Linked DNA regions of Oreochromis niloticus. The protein of the gene in region 1 purifies or fractionates together with the protein of each later gene. This does not show direct contact. Links are inferred from orthologs where the notes say so. Each region holds a gene or a part of one and is shown on either strand. Other genes may lie near its edges. The genes, in order: slc9a6a and mblac2.

Region 1 (7,549 bases):
CTTCAACATATTTTACAAGGTAAATTAGACAGAGATTATGTTTGACCTAAAAGACAAAGAGTGCTAATTATGTGATGCTTCTGAAAAACTGAGTAAATTTCATGTTACAAGTAATGGCCAGCTGATTCTGCCTTACTGAAGTACTTTTAAAGATGTAATACACACTATTGTTTTGATGGTTTATATACACCATTACTATTGTCCTAGGATGGACGTGCAGAATGTTTAGGTGTCAAAAAGGATACGGACGCTGACAGCCTCAGCATCTGTGCTCAGCAATCTCTTCACTTCCTTTTCCACATCAGGAGATTCAATGTACTGCAAAAGACAGAGAGATCGAGTTACTTGTAGTATTAGCAGCATCTCTCTTGCCGTCCTCCTCAGTCTCTATCTTACCCACACACACACACCAAGGTAGCAGCTGGCCACATGCCAGGAAGTACATTAGCGATTAAAAACAGAAGGGGCCAAATCAATATGGCTCAGCTCTGCACCTTCAGGAAGATTTATTCAGAAGACAAAGTAGAAGTGTAGTGCTCCAGCTCCACTCGCTTTCACTTTGATCAAAGCAATAGTGAAATAGCTTTTTTGCATGCCTTTGGGGAAAACTAAGATGGAAAGGCTTTATTTATATGTAAATCTTAGTTTTCACTTTTACCACAGTTCCTGTTTTATGAAATGTAAATGTCTTGTTGGAAGAGAGCCTAGGAAAAAGATGGATCATCAAACGAGATGCTAAGGAGATGGATGGGACATGGGAGGGGACTGCTGTAGGGAAAATGAAAAATGTCAGAACCTTTTTTTTCGCAGTCTTCCGAAATCTCCTCTTGCGCGTGTTCTTCAGAGGGCAGGTGACTAAAGAGCAAAACAATGGGATTAGTGAAGCCAAAAATCAGTCTATTACCCAAGGAGGGGACATTATGTTTCCTGAACTGCTGATATGCCAAGTTTTCAATATAAACAAGTCAAAAAGCTGCTGTGTGTATATAATTACTTACTGCCGTGATTCCAAACAAATTTCTTGTCCTTGTCTTTATCCTTCTTTTTGGTCTTAGGGTCAGTGCCAGTTGGCTCTTCCAAAGGGGGGTAAAGGTCTCCATCTAGTGTACACACGAGCATCTAACCCGTGGATGGGAAAAATGAATGCAAAATATTATGCTGATTAATCTGCACTGCAACTACACTACAACTGTGGAAAATAAATTTACATAACATGTATCTAAAATCCAAAATGTACTTTTATTTTAAACCAATGAAATAATGGAAAACTGTAAAAATTTATTTCCAGTCTCTTGCTTACCTGGCAGACATCTGCAGTCTTGTAAAACGTCTTCTTATCCACCGTTTTGAGTGACTCAATCATGCAGGGCAGATCAACCAGTTTGCAGGCCAAAGGAACACGGTCTACTCTAACTATGCCATGACGACCATCAGCTACAAATTAGAGGGACAAATAACTGTTAAGGGACATGTGGGTGACATTTCTTTAACTAGTTCCATTAGTATGCTTGTTACATTTAAATAACAAAAAGAATGAAACTGCTATAGAAATATGTACAATGTTCAAAATTCTGGACCCAACTGTAAATAAATAACAAGACAGGGAGACAGTGTGAGACACATTAAACCAGTGCCAAGATTGTGAGCAGCTTACGGTGCAACTCAATGGTGAGTCTGTCCTTCATGTTCATACTGCTAGACTGTGCAATCCTTCTTACTGTTGAGGCATACTCCTGCAAAAGAAAGAAAAATGAAGCCAGATCATATGTATGGTGATAAAACTGAATTTCCATCAAACAATGAATTTCTGCAAGTGCAAACGTCTCACCGAAGGAAGCCTAAGGACAAACTGGCTCTCCAACTCATAAGGGGCATCCTCCTTACTCTTGGAACCGACCTTCCCAACTAAAATCAAAACACATCACCATAATGAAAGCGTTAAAATATGTCTTGCTTGCTATATGATGACAAACTACAAAGTTTGTCATTCTACTTTAACATTAAAATATACAGTACATTAGGTACTCATTTTTTCCTATTTTGAAGTAAGAAGTAATATAGTGTCTAATATATTAATCTCTGGCTCTCTTCCACAGTGTCTTTTTTCACAGTGTCAGATGGATGCCACTCCTGAAGCCTGGTTCTGCTGGAGGTTTCTTCCTGTTAAAAAGGAGTTTTTCCTTTGCCTTTCCCACTGAATGCTTACTCATTGCATTTCGTTTGATTGCTGTGGCTTTCTCTGTATTATATTTTATTATATTATATTATAAATTCAGTTCAACTGAATCATCTGCTAGATGGACTGGTCTGTGGACCATTTAAAGCATTTTTGGTACCTTAGCTGGGCTCTTTGTGCAACTTTAAAATTCTACTACATTATATTTCAGGGGCAAACACTACACTCCACCACATTGTTTGACAGCTTTAATTACTGATCACTTTATAGTCTTTCATGTTCTTCCTGTGGAAAGAAACCTCCAAGTTTGGTGATTTTATATGCAATATTTTACTTTGAGTGTTCTTTGTTTTGCTTTTTTTTTTAAACTTGTGGAAAATTGTCTTTAAAGGTATGAGGTTTTCACTGGGCAGCAACACTAGAAATATATAAACACTAATTAATATCTTAAGTACCTACAACAGTAAAGTTTATTTCAGTGCTGACAAAAAAGGAACTTACAATGTAATAAGCTAAAAATGTAAATAGCCAAACCATTTTTATTTCTCACAGTGCGTATATGCAAACCAACAAATGTTATTGTTAGTTCAATATAACATTTAGTTTATTATATTATACTATGAATGAATAAATGAACGAAAAAATAACCAACGTTCCTACCAAATGTACTATGAATCTCTTTTCAAATTCTATCACGAATGTCTTTACATCAAAAGTAAAACACCGATAATTATTGCTAATAAAGGTTACTTGTGCATTTTACATTAGTGATGTCTACCACACTGTGGACCAGTAACACTATAGGAGATTATACATAATGTTCAAAAGACAGGAACGACAAACGCTAATTTGCGAACACAGTTGTTAAAATATGCCACAGACAACATGTTCTGTTACATCATCACCATTATTGTTACTATCAGCTTCATCTTAATAACCGACAACTAAAAATGTTTCTTTACCTTACAAAAGTGGAGGCTAAGAGGCTAACAGCTAGTTATCTTTAGCATAAGGATAAGGGCAGAGGATTTTAACGTACCTTTCAGTTTAGATGTCATCGTCGTTTTTCAAGTTTAGATGGTGCAGCTGTATAGATATCTTTCAATGGCAAACACGCATAAACATGACAACTCTAAGTAAAAAAAAACGAGACTTCTTAGCTACACGGTGATAGCATAATCACGAGCGAAAACAAGAGTGTTGTATAGGGCTTTGCCACTTTCAATACCTCCTCGGAAATTTGTATTTTCTGTACCTTGGCTGTACAACTCGTATGTCTGAGCATTAAATTACAAATTTAGGCATATTTTAGTTAATAATTAAGTAATTATAATATATATATATGCATATTTTGTACTGCCATGTTATTAAATAAGGACTAACAGTGCAAATTAGTTTGTTTTTCAGTGCATGACAGTAAAATAAAAAATTCCGATAAATCGGAACGTCACACGCAACCATCCGTATCACGAGACTTGTCAAAAGTACTTTTGAAAAACAAAAAATAACGAATATTCTTTATGCAATATAGTTAAATGTATCTATAAATATTTAAAATTATTATTTGATGTTCGTATCGTTATGCTAAATGGTCTGTAGGTAAAAGAAAAGTAGGAAGGAAGTAGGAATGAGGAAATACCACAGGAAATATGCGTCTATTTTTTATTTAAACTTATTCTATTAAGAATTAAACCGTAACCTAAAATAAATGTTAAGTTCGTTATTATATCTGGTTTATTTTTATTTATTTATTTTCAATACAACACAAATCGATAGCCTAAAGGACTGTTGGACTCACTTCCCGGTAAGCACGGCTATCGTCAAATATTTCATAATAAAAGATTTCGGGGAAAACTATCATCGCTAATAAGAAGCAAACTGCCAAGAAAACTGCCAGATAGACATTTTTGTTTATTTAGAAGGTTTATTCTTTTTGCGGCATTAAATTTTTCCACAGGCGTTGATTTTAACCACCCACGGTACGGTGGTGTGCTTTTAATTTGAAACATAAAATTACACTTTCTGGAAAAATTACTTTTCCCTTCCGGGCCGGAATTGGTTTCTCTTTTGCTGTCGTCTTTCTGTTGCCCACTCCCCTCAGTTTATGAATAATATTTGCACAAGTTTATTTTTACCTTCGGCGACGTTGCAGCATTTGGCCGCCGAAAGTCGAAATGGTGTTTAAAGTGACTGTCAGCAGTGCCCGGAGGGCAACAAGGACGCTGTGGCTGCTCGTGCTAGTAAGCCTGCCTGTTTGCATCAGTGTTTGCCGAGCATCATCACCTCAGGAGGACAGTGCCATGGAGAACATCGTTACAGAGAAAAAGGCTGAGGAGAGCCACAGACAAGACAGCGCTGACCTGCTGATCTTTATCCTGCTCCTCACCCTCACCATCCTGACAATATGGTTGTTCAAACATCGGCGGTTCAGGTTTCTCCACGAAACCGGGCTGGCAATGATTTATGGTAAGATGGTCCATCGTGACAGAGAGACGTCATCCGAGCTGTTACACTCATTGTGTCCTAATAGTTAGATTTTAAACAGATGAATGTCAACACCACGCTTGATAAGTTCGCCCCTGTTAATGACATACTTCATTTGGGCGAATTTTAACAGATTTATGCAGCAGGACTGTGCCAGTTTGTGTTGTGATTGAGCAAGCGTAATTTAACGACAGTGAACGCCTCTTTTACACTGCTTAGTCTTAAAAATTACATCTGAGCACCTAAGCAATTTCGACAAATACTGTCTTATGAATCCTACTGAATTTTAGTTCTTAAATAACTTGTTTTTGTTTTGTTTTTGTTTTTGCTTTTTCGTGCAAGTCACAAGTGATTATTTGGACAAGTGCCAATCATGAGTGTGGAACTGGACTTTGCTTCCACTTCTGTATATTGAATTTCAGGAGTATTGTTAGAATTCTTCCAACCCGTAGAAGAGGAAGTGGTCGTGCCATTGTAGAATCATCGTAGAACCATATCTAGCAGATAATTAATAATTTCTGTTTGGCTGTGCAGAGCTTTTAGAGTGTAAACATTCACAAATCACTCACTTTTAGTTTTTATGAAGGCTCCATAGGATGGATAATAACATTATGCTATTATTTTAGCTGTGACATTACTGTCTACTACATGGTTACCAAACCATGCATTACTACCATAGTAACAGATGTTTGATCTGAGCATTTTAAGTCAAGATCAGATCACAAATCAAAATTTGATCAAAATAGCTGGAAAGATGGTTGTCATCCTTCCTCAATTTTCTCTCCATGAGATATTTAAAGACATGTTGTGATGTTTATTTTGTGTGACATATTCCCCTCCGTTGACCAAGACAAATTTCTCCCACTGGAGACAATATGGTCTAATCTAATCTAAACTAATTGAAATTCTAATTTGCTGGTACACTATCTGATAGGGTAATTTATTTTCACATGGATGTGTTAAGACTTTAATTTGAGATCCAAAGCTGTTAGGTACGTCTGTGATGTTCAGACTAGACCTTTGTTTAATTTTTTTTTTCTACAAATTAATTCCACTGAAACATTTTAGACCATCTGTAGTGTCAGGTAGCCTAAAACTGCACTCACCATCCGTTTTTGTGGCAACATGCCATAAACCATTAAAAATCCTGTATTAATCAATTCTTCTCTCTCTACTGTTTTTTTTTTTTTTTTGTCTTTCGTTTTTATTAATTTTTCCCCAGGCTTAATTGTTGGAGTGATTTTGCGTTATGGCATTCATGTTCCTCGGGATGTTAGCAACATCACCTTGAATTGCCAGGTCAATGCCAGCCCTGCCACTCTGCTGGTCAATGTAAGCGGCAAGTTCTACGAGTACACATTGAAAGGGGAGATCAATGCCAATGAAGTGAACGACGTGCAGGACAATGAGATGCTGCGCAAGGTATACTCAGTCGTGATGTCTACATACAAGAAATTGTGTTACAGAGATGGGTAATTATTTTCCTAAGGGACTATGTGAGAAACTGGGACTGTTGTGGAGGACAGTGCCAGTAAATTGAACTCAGTATTAATTTTATCTCTGTATAAGTTATTGGTACAGCCCTCCACAAGAGTCCCAGTTTCTCCTGTATCCCCTTGAGAAGATTAATTCCCCACCCCTGAGCTGGAGCAATCAGATGATTTAATCATCAGCGAAGACATAATTGTCAGTTATTTTACACTGAAATGATAGCAGATGTTTAAATCTGCAAGCACTGATGATCAGACAAAACCAGCTACCCCACATGTTTCCCTTCTGATATTTTAAATACAGCATAACTAACCAATGCAAGAGAGAAATCATAGTCAGGTTAATTTGTAATGGGATTAAATGGTGGTTTTAGTTTTTTGTGAGCTGAATGATTTGTGATTCTCTTTCTGTAATACTAATTATTTATTATCAACATTAAGTAGCTATTTCAAATTTAAAAGAATAGCTGTACATCTAGATCAAATCTGTTTGAAGACTAAACAGGGCATGAAATGCTCTGTTAAAATAACTGGCAGAATGCCTTTATTGGTGATACAGAATGTAAAAGAAACCATAAAAGTAGTTGTTTTACAGTTGTCATGTGCTGGGGTGTGTTTGTCACTTTGTACTTTGTCGGTTAAACAGCTGCACAATTACATACAAGCAGTATTCTTGATGCTATTCTAACCACCAAACAAGTAAACAATCTGCTGAACAAGTTTCATTTTTTTAAGTCATAATCTCACGCTCAGCAATTTAGGATTGTTTTCCAAACATGAATACATCTAATCCATTGTCAGAGATTGAAACCACATACTGATTTGAATGTAGCACTGCTCTAGATTTAGCATCTAAAATTGGCATTAGCCTTAGTATGTGTATATGTATGTGGCTAGAAGCTGTCCTCTTTCTGTGACATACCATGTTACTTTTATAGTAGGTTTTTGTTTATTGTCCTGGAAGCTGTGTCATGATGCCCCAGATGTGTCATTTTTGATTAATTAATATTTCAGTCGATCCATAAATGCAACAGCATAGAAAGAAATATTAATGAAAACAACTTGTTAATTTTCTTTTGATGCAGATCGGCAATTTTGTTCTGTGTTTTGTATAACTCAGGTGACCTTTGACCCTGAAGTGTTCTTCAATATTCTCCTACCGCCTATCATCTTCCATGCTGGCTACAGCTTAAAAAGGGTACAGTATATCATATAAAAAGTCAACATTTATTAAATACATATTTTCAGTATGTGTTTGGCTCTTGATTAAATAACATCATATTTTGACTATGAAATTTTAAAAGTCCATTTGTAGTCTCTTTATAGACCGCAGGGGTTTCATCAAGATGAATAATTTATTTTATAGTAAGTATGCATTTGATTGCTGATCTGGTAACTC
Region 2 (7,593 bases), on another chromosome or scaffold:
TAACTCATTTGTAATTATGTACAATTTTTAGACTTGTTATGTAGCCCTTTTATTTTCTCACTGTGTTCAGTTGATATTCTATGACAGAGCATTGTGTTCTTAACAGTATGTGCCTTTCAACCTGTGAAACTTGTCTACAGGATGAAGAATAAATAAATCTATTTTGAATAAATTATTGCCGTGTGCACATATTTCAGCATTTCTTATTTACATTAGTCTTTAACGAAAGCTTGATCAGAAAAAGAAAAAGGGCATCGCTCCACACTGAATAGCATTCCCAACTTATGTGCAATATTTAACCAAAAGAAGCAGTCACATTATGTTTAACTTCAGCACGTCCTTGCTTGAGAGACGCTCAGTATGTTGCTTCGCCATCCATATTATCGTCACTGTCCGCAGCGAAATCTTCACCGTTGTCGAAGTAGCTTTCTATGTAGTCGTTCTCCTACACAGAACGAAGAGAAAGCAATGTTAGATCTAGTTTGTACATATTGATCGTTATGTGTAACACATTTTGCAGTACATCTTGGAATCACACCTCTTCAATATCCTCCTCTTCATATTCTTCCTCTTCAATTTCCTCTTCATCCTCATTTCGCGGCTTCTTTTCAGTCTCCTCATCTGATTTTTCAGGGTCATCTTTGTTTGCCAGTTCCTGGCATTAATATCAAATTACTCATGTGAAACACCAAAGGTGTGGAGAGAGAACTGACAGTAAATTTAAATGAAGCTTACATCTAATTTGGTCAGAATGTTCTCTGTGTCCTTGCGTGATATCTTCGCACTTTTTTTTGTGCCTGTTGGAGTTAAACATTGGGTCTTTATTCTTATAGTAACAAGAAATGTGATTTCATACATATTGTATTTAATGTACCCGTTTTAGCCTGAGGTCGTTTTCTTCTGGGCATCAGTTCTTTTGGAAAAAGGTTCCAGTCTAAAATATCAAGAAAAATGTTATCATCATCCTCTTTTTTGTGTTCCACCTAATCCCATAATGATGTGTTACGCACGTACCTGGAGTCCATTCATTGTCGTCAATCTGGCTTTGCTTCAGGTATCTCTCGGTGTATCTCTCCACTTCTGTTTTCAAGTAAACAAAAGAAAGGTCATACTCTTAAAAACATTTAGACTAGTATGCGTCAACACAAACTGCAGTGTTACTCTAGAAGTTTACATACAGTCAGTAGCATGAATGTCATGGTCATTTGGGGCTTTAATGATTTCTTTGAAATGATATTTTTATAGAGTGGAAGGACTGTACAGCATGCATCTTTAATGCCTTTAAAAAAAACAAAAAAATACAAGAATTTGTTACAGAAGCTTGGATTAATTTTGGCAGGTCTTGAAGGATGAAAGGACTGATAACACTAAATGCCGCCCACCCAGACGGACCGGACTTTTAAGCATAGTCCACAAATTTTCAATAAGATTGAGGCTGTGGTTTTGCAAAAGCCAGAATTTTAATGTTAGTCTGCTTTATCCAATCCAAAACCAATTTTGATGTGTATTTGGGAACACTGTCCTGTTTGAACACCCAATTGTGTCCAAAGTTTCAACCATCTAGCTGCAAATTTCAGTTGAAATTGAAGCTGTTGATTTTGGAGCAGGGTATTCTTTTGTGGTCGGCAAAAGAATTAAAACTCGCTTCAGCGGCTGGTCTTTGAGTAGTTTCGATTTCACGGTAGACTTGAGACCCGGTTGTTCTTCGGTTGTTCGTGAACATCCTAACCAATTTTCTCTCATCCGAGGGTAACAGTTCGGATCTTCTTCCAGAAAATTGAAAACTTGGAATGTGATATTGTTTAAAATAGCTCAAATAGACTTTCCCAAATTATGTAAATTATCAATTCTCCTTCTTGGATCTTCACAGAGTTCCTTCAACTCTCCCATTGTGCGTCAATCCAATGAGCCCTGTCAAACAAATCCTTCTTTTTTTCCTGTCAAAGACAGACTAGTTGTAATCAATGATGATCACTGATGAGAAGTTAATAGGCCTTGGCCTCATCAAGCTAAAAGACATTTAGTATTTGTTCTGCTCTACAGCCCATGAACCAGCTCTCTTTTTACTGCAGGTTTTGGATGGAGTACAATGTCTAACAGCTATCTAAGACAGCGGAGGTGGTGCTCAACCATGGGATGAGAGTCTTGCTGAAGAGGCTGTAGATATGAAGCAGCAGCTGCTTCTCTGTTTATCGGTCATGATGTGTGTATATTTGCTTCTGCACAGAAGAACTGGGTGCACTTCCTTTTCATAGGTAATTTCCCTATAGTCATGTTCACCACAGACCCCCTGCTGAATAAGCAATCCCCCCTTCCCCCTATAAAATACACTGACTTCTTTACATGGTTACATTTAGCTAACTGTGGAACAGGAGAGTTTTGAAAGGCCAGTAATCCAGACAAAAGAAATCTGTGGTTTCGCAAGATGAGACATCTGTAACTCAATATTCTGTCATTAATCTGCCTCTCTCCGTTTCCCAGATATGACCTTAACTGAAAGTCTTTGTTCCTAAAAGCTGCATTATCTTCCCCCACAGCAGACAACTGTCTTACAGCGTCATTTCAGCTGATGTCAGGTTTCTAATGCACCGCCTTCCTCACCTGCTTTATTGGACTGAGGTTTGATGTTGTATGGCAGCCGTTGCATTGTTCCCCTCATCTCTTGTTTTAAGGCCAGCATATAGTCCTCATCCTCGCCAGCTTTCAGTGGAACTGGTTTAAAATCCGTGCTCTGGAGAAGTATGGATGATGTAATGCCGATATTAATAATGTTCAAGTGCAAATAAATTTCAAATCTAACTGAAATTCAGACTGCCATGTAAAGGTGTTCAACATTTTAAGTATGAATAGTCAAAATATACTACATTGTAAGCATAGTCCAAACTGTGTTTAAAAGAAAAAAAAAATCCCCATAAAGCATCCTGGCAGAATCCAAGAGGCACGTAAATATCTGCCATATTCTTTGGGAATACACACGACCAAATTAGAAAACCTGGCCATGAATTTAACATAAGCGCATACATTATTGCCCTTTACCCCCTTTGTGCTTATTTGTGAACCCTGTGAGAGACACTCATTGGGTCATAACTCTTAAACACATGTTGGCCATGAGCACGATAAATATACTTTCATCTCCCTTCATTTAAATACAAATGCAGTAAAATGTTTCGTAAATTTTATTACAAAGAATAAACCTTAACCTATTATAAGTAAACCTCCACTGTATATAGTCTGCTATTCAAATTCCATGCAAATTTCACCTACCTCTCTCAAAAAGGTCTCTCCCAAAGTCGCTCCAGTAAAGTTTGACCATTAGAGGTGAATTTGTTATACTGAAATGCAATCTGTCATCCTGCTGGTGTGTGTGTGTGTGTGTGTGTGTGTGTGTGTGTGTGTGTGTGTGTGTGTGTGTGTGTGTGTGTGTGTGTGTGTGTGTGTGTGTGTGTAAACGACTGTGTTCGGTACTTACTGGAAACAGAGGACTGGGCCCCACCCTGGCTTCTGGCATGTTGCCCCTGCCGATGCCCAGAGCGTCAATATTGAAGGTAAAAGCACCAACTCCACGACCCTTGCCTGCCATGGCTGCAGGTCTCCTCTGTTCCTGCACACACACACACACACACACACACACACACACGTCCACATATCTCCAGTCAACACGTGTTGATGAAAGTTAACGTTCTACAGCTTCCATCGCCTTTAGCGTGACTCTGCCAGCGATGAAGCTTTAGTCAGCATCAGAGACGCACTCTACGTGTAAAGTATGTCGAAATACTTACTAGAAGCCTGTTAGTATACTGCGCCTAATGTAAAAAAGCACAAAGTCTACTTCAGAGCTGGACAGCGATATTTAGCTCTTACTGGATCCACATGTTTCAGTTTTTTAATGTACCTCTCTGGCCGGTTTTATCTGTCCCTCGACAACTCCTTAAAAATCACATACATTTCAGCTGAACCTAATGAAGATACTGCTTAGACTTTATACTGCTTAGCTAGCACCGGCTTTGGAAACCTGCACACGCCATACGCCACTGTCAGCATGCGTAAATGTGGCTTTAACTCGCTCCTCCTCTGCGTGACGACAGAGGAGGCGTGGTTTGCGTATAGCCAATTGCAACCCACGTTAAGCTGCCGTCGTTTATCGGTTTGCCCAGTGAGCTTAGTGTCCTCCTACAAGGGTGTGTCTGCGGCCACCATCGCATTAACCTCAATGAAAACATATCATCTGTAGCTAGAAGGCTAGTTACACCTCTCCCCCCCAATAAATCACCTGACAGCAAGACACCATACTGAACCCTACTTCGACAAGCGAATGAACTGGGATGTCTGCAGTCGACTGGTACGCTCACAAATCGCTCGGAGACGGAATCTTCTGGATCCAGGAGCGATTCTACCAGTCGGAGAACCGAGCCAACATCTGGTTGCTGCGCGGCACACACCAGGACGTGGTGATAGACACGGGTCTGGGCTTAAGGAGCTTACCTGAATACATCGACGCCAAAGGCCTGCTGGGAAAAGACCCGCAGAGGAAAAACCCGCTGCTTGCCATCGCCACCCACGCCCACTTCGACCACTCCGGTGGTCTGCATCAGTTCCAACAGGTGGGCGTCCACAGCGCGGAGGTCGATGCCCTGGCCAACGGAGACAACTTCGAGACGGTCACTTGGCTCAGCGACAGGGAGATAGCCGAGGCTCCCAGCCCGGGATGGAGGGCAAGGCACTACAAAGTCAAGGCTGTGCAGCCCACACACATACTGCAGGAGGGTAGGTAGGAAATACAGCCCTTGCAGATTTGATTTAGGCTAGAGGGATGGATCTGTGCTCAAATACCAGCAAGGTCTAAAAGCATTCACTTAGTGACAAGCACCATAATCGATACAGTAATGGGCTTGATGGATGCACCAGGCCTAGTGTGAGCACAGTATGCTCTACAGAGTCGTTTCCAGCCTCAGATTCTGCACCGCGATTTGGCAGAAGACCAACAATGACTTGCTAGCTCACACATCGACACATATTATATATGTAATGGAGGTAGTGGGGATGAGACAAGGGGTCGGTCTGCCAGTAATTTTTACAGTTACAAAGTAGGCTAGAGGAACCAGTTCAATGCAGCAACATGAGGCCAGGACTGGTGATTACACAGGTGCAATTATCCCATTACACAAAACAGGATATTCTATCCAAGGAATGCAGGTACAGACAATTTCCCCCTATTAGAAGTGTATGGGTTAAAAAAACAACAACAAAAACTCCATTGGTAGCAACTATATGCTCATTCTCTATATCTGCAGAGCTGTTCTATTTTAAGCCAGTGTGATGGCTTTGATGTATTCTCTTGCTTCCAAGAAAGAGCATACAGAGACTGGTGTCACACTTAATGAAAGCATCCCACAGCGCGAAGTAACAACCACACAGTCTTCTCTTTTCTCAAACAATTTTTTATAGTGGGTCAAAGATCAGCAGGTGGCGAGCTGAATCAATCTACTTGATAAATCTGAAAGTGGATACGTTGTTTGAAAGCACTGGTCACTGGAGTCTTTATATAAAGCACACATTCATCAGAATAGCACACATAATAATACACAAAGCTTATATCATAAATAATGTATTTGCTGAGCCGCCGTATCTGTTGGGGTTTAATGCAAAATGCAGTGTTGTAGAGTAACTCGTTCTGCTGTGTCAGAGCCACTACTGCAGTGCAGCTGGTATATCTCATTCCCTGATGTATCAACTTCACCCTTTTTGCCAGTGCAACTCATAACTGGCGTCGACCAAATCGATGATATACTGAATGTCACAGAATCTGTGTGACTCAGTGACATGTGGAAAGCACAAACATAACTCTGACGTGAGTCAGCCAGAATATGAGTTATCACTTATATATAAGTCTAAGATTTTAAATACATAGTGGCCGGTGATTACGGTTCATGCCACGTTTGTATGTGTGAATAATTATCAAAACCTAATGCCTTCACTCTCTCTCTCTTTCTCCTGCCTAGGTGATGTCATCAATCTTGGTGACAGACAGCTGACTGTGCTTCACATGCCCGGACACTCTCGGGGAAGCATTTGCCTTCATGACCGGGACAATAAGTTGCTTTTCAGTGGCGATGTTGTGTATGACGGCGCAATGATTGACTGGCTGCCCTACAGCCGCGTCAGTGACTACATCAGCAGCTGTGAGCGCCTGGTTGGGCTGGTGGACAGCGAACAGGTAACTCTAAAGCCCACTAGAGAGCAGCCTCACAATTTCAGTACACAGTTCCACTTTTTTTTTCCAGGGGTATTTATCCCAAAGCACCTTATATCAACATTTCATAGATTTATAATGAAAATATCATGTTGCTCTGCTGAAATTTGGCATACCAGTATCTATTAGCCTACATATACAAGCTGTGTTTTCTGTGCTAATACTTAAAACAATATACTTTAACATGTGCTAAACATTATTTGTTAAATAAAATACATGTTTATTGGCTTTAAAATGGATTTAACAGGTCGACCAAGTCCTCCCGGGGCACTACAATGCATTCGGTGCGAAGCGGCTCCATCGGCTTGCCTCCACGTACATCAGCAGAGCTGAAACATGCCCTGCAAAGTTCTCCACGTTTGCCTGGAGGAGTCTGGCTGGGGTGGCGCTGCGGGTGTGCAACCCACAGTGTGCCTGCTAATGAGAGTGGGTCATTGAGCTGCAGGAAGCAAGTGCACAAAGAGAGATGTTTTAGTATGGAGGACATGGAAGAGTGTGAGGACAGAAAGGGTGGGGGCGGGGTTACCTCTGTTTTATCTGCAACTTAATGTAACGCTGTCCATTTACTTATGTAATCCAGCTGAAAATCAAGTAATTGCCAAACTTTGTGTGAAATGCCCCTACTGGGTTACAGAAGTCAATAATCAGCACCATATGAAGCCTATTATAAAAAATATTTACTGGTCTTATATGCTGATGAATATGTATATGTTGGTGTTAATATAATTCAGTGTTTGATTTTTATACTTTAAGCATATGTGAAGTTACAATAGCACAACAATAGCATAACTCTGCACTACAAACAGAACAGGGCGCTTTGGGTTTTCCTCTGAGACATTTGAAACAAAGTCATTATGGCCATAGTGTTCTCTATGCATATTACAATGCTCAGTGAAGACTCAGTGTCGACTACCTCCTATGTTTGTAATTGTGCTTTGTACTATTGACTAATCTACAGCTTTGCTATCGAAACATAGACAATAAAAAGTCTCTGTTCTACCTGCTTTTTGAGTCTTTTGCAGCACAGATTGCAGCAGCTTATAAGTGGATTTGCTTCTCCAGGGGGGAACTCAAATGGGATTTGTTGCAAGAGAGAGAAAAAGGGGCAGAACAGAGGTGGATGGAATATGATCCAACACCTGTTCAAAGGATAGAGAACTTAAAGTCATTTTCTAATCTGATGGAAACCTCTCTCAATGCATGGAAAGGGTTTAATTTGGGGGGCTTTTAGTTTGAAAAGTTAAGAAAAGTAGGATGATTTAACCTTCTAACAGAAATATCAGATTTTATTTTTAAGTTCAATGCATTACTAAAGAATTTCACCATAAAAATGTACACATAAA

The links.
Region 2: the proteins of slc9a6a (region 1) and mblac2 purify together in Homo sapiens (co-immunoprecipitation; 3 studies listed by BioGRID and IntAct, counting the BioPlex papers as one, with this or other methods). This does not show direct contact. The link is inferred for Oreochromis niloticus from reciprocal best matches to the Homo sapiens genes SLC9A6 and MBLAC2.

What each region holds. Positions count from the first base shown.
Region 1 is NC_031966.2:19,243,216-19,250,764, forward strand, and holds the start of slc9a6a (sodium/hydrogen exchanger 6a), read left to right. Parts: upstream 1-4,198; 5' UTR 4,199-4,350; coding exon 4,351-4,642; intron 4,643-5,882; coding exon 5,883-6,082; intron 6,083-7,270; coding exon 7,271-7,348; intron 7,349-7,549. Other genes in the region: taf7 (transcription initiation factor TFIID subunit 7), read right to left, coding at 246-318, 797-855, 999-1,119, 1,301-1,434, 1,655-1,733, 1,829-1,905, 3,216-3,234. UniProt on the Homo sapiens protein: Endosomal Na(+), K(+)/H(+) antiporter. Mediates the electroneutral exchange of endosomal luminal H(+) for a cytosolic Na(+) or K(+).
Region 2 is NC_031977.2:14,420,198-14,427,790, reverse strand, and holds mblac2 (acyl-coenzyme A thioesterase MBLAC2), read left to right. Parts: upstream 1-4,162; 5' UTR 4,163-4,322; coding exon 4,323-4,764; intron 4,765-5,999; coding exon 6,000-6,214; intron 6,215-6,497; coding exon 6,498-6,671; 3' UTR 6,672-7,253; downstream 7,254-7,593. Other genes in the region: polr3g (DNA-directed RNA polymerase III subunit RPC7), read right to left, coding at 356-445, 539-655, 736-797, 875-934, 1,015-1,080, 2,602-2,731, 3,470-3,580. UniProt on the Homo sapiens protein: Acyl-CoA thioesterases are a group of enzymes that catalyze the hydrolysis of acyl-CoAs to the free fatty acid and coenzyme A (CoASH), providing the potential to regulate intracellular levels of acyl-CoAs, free fatty acids and CoASH.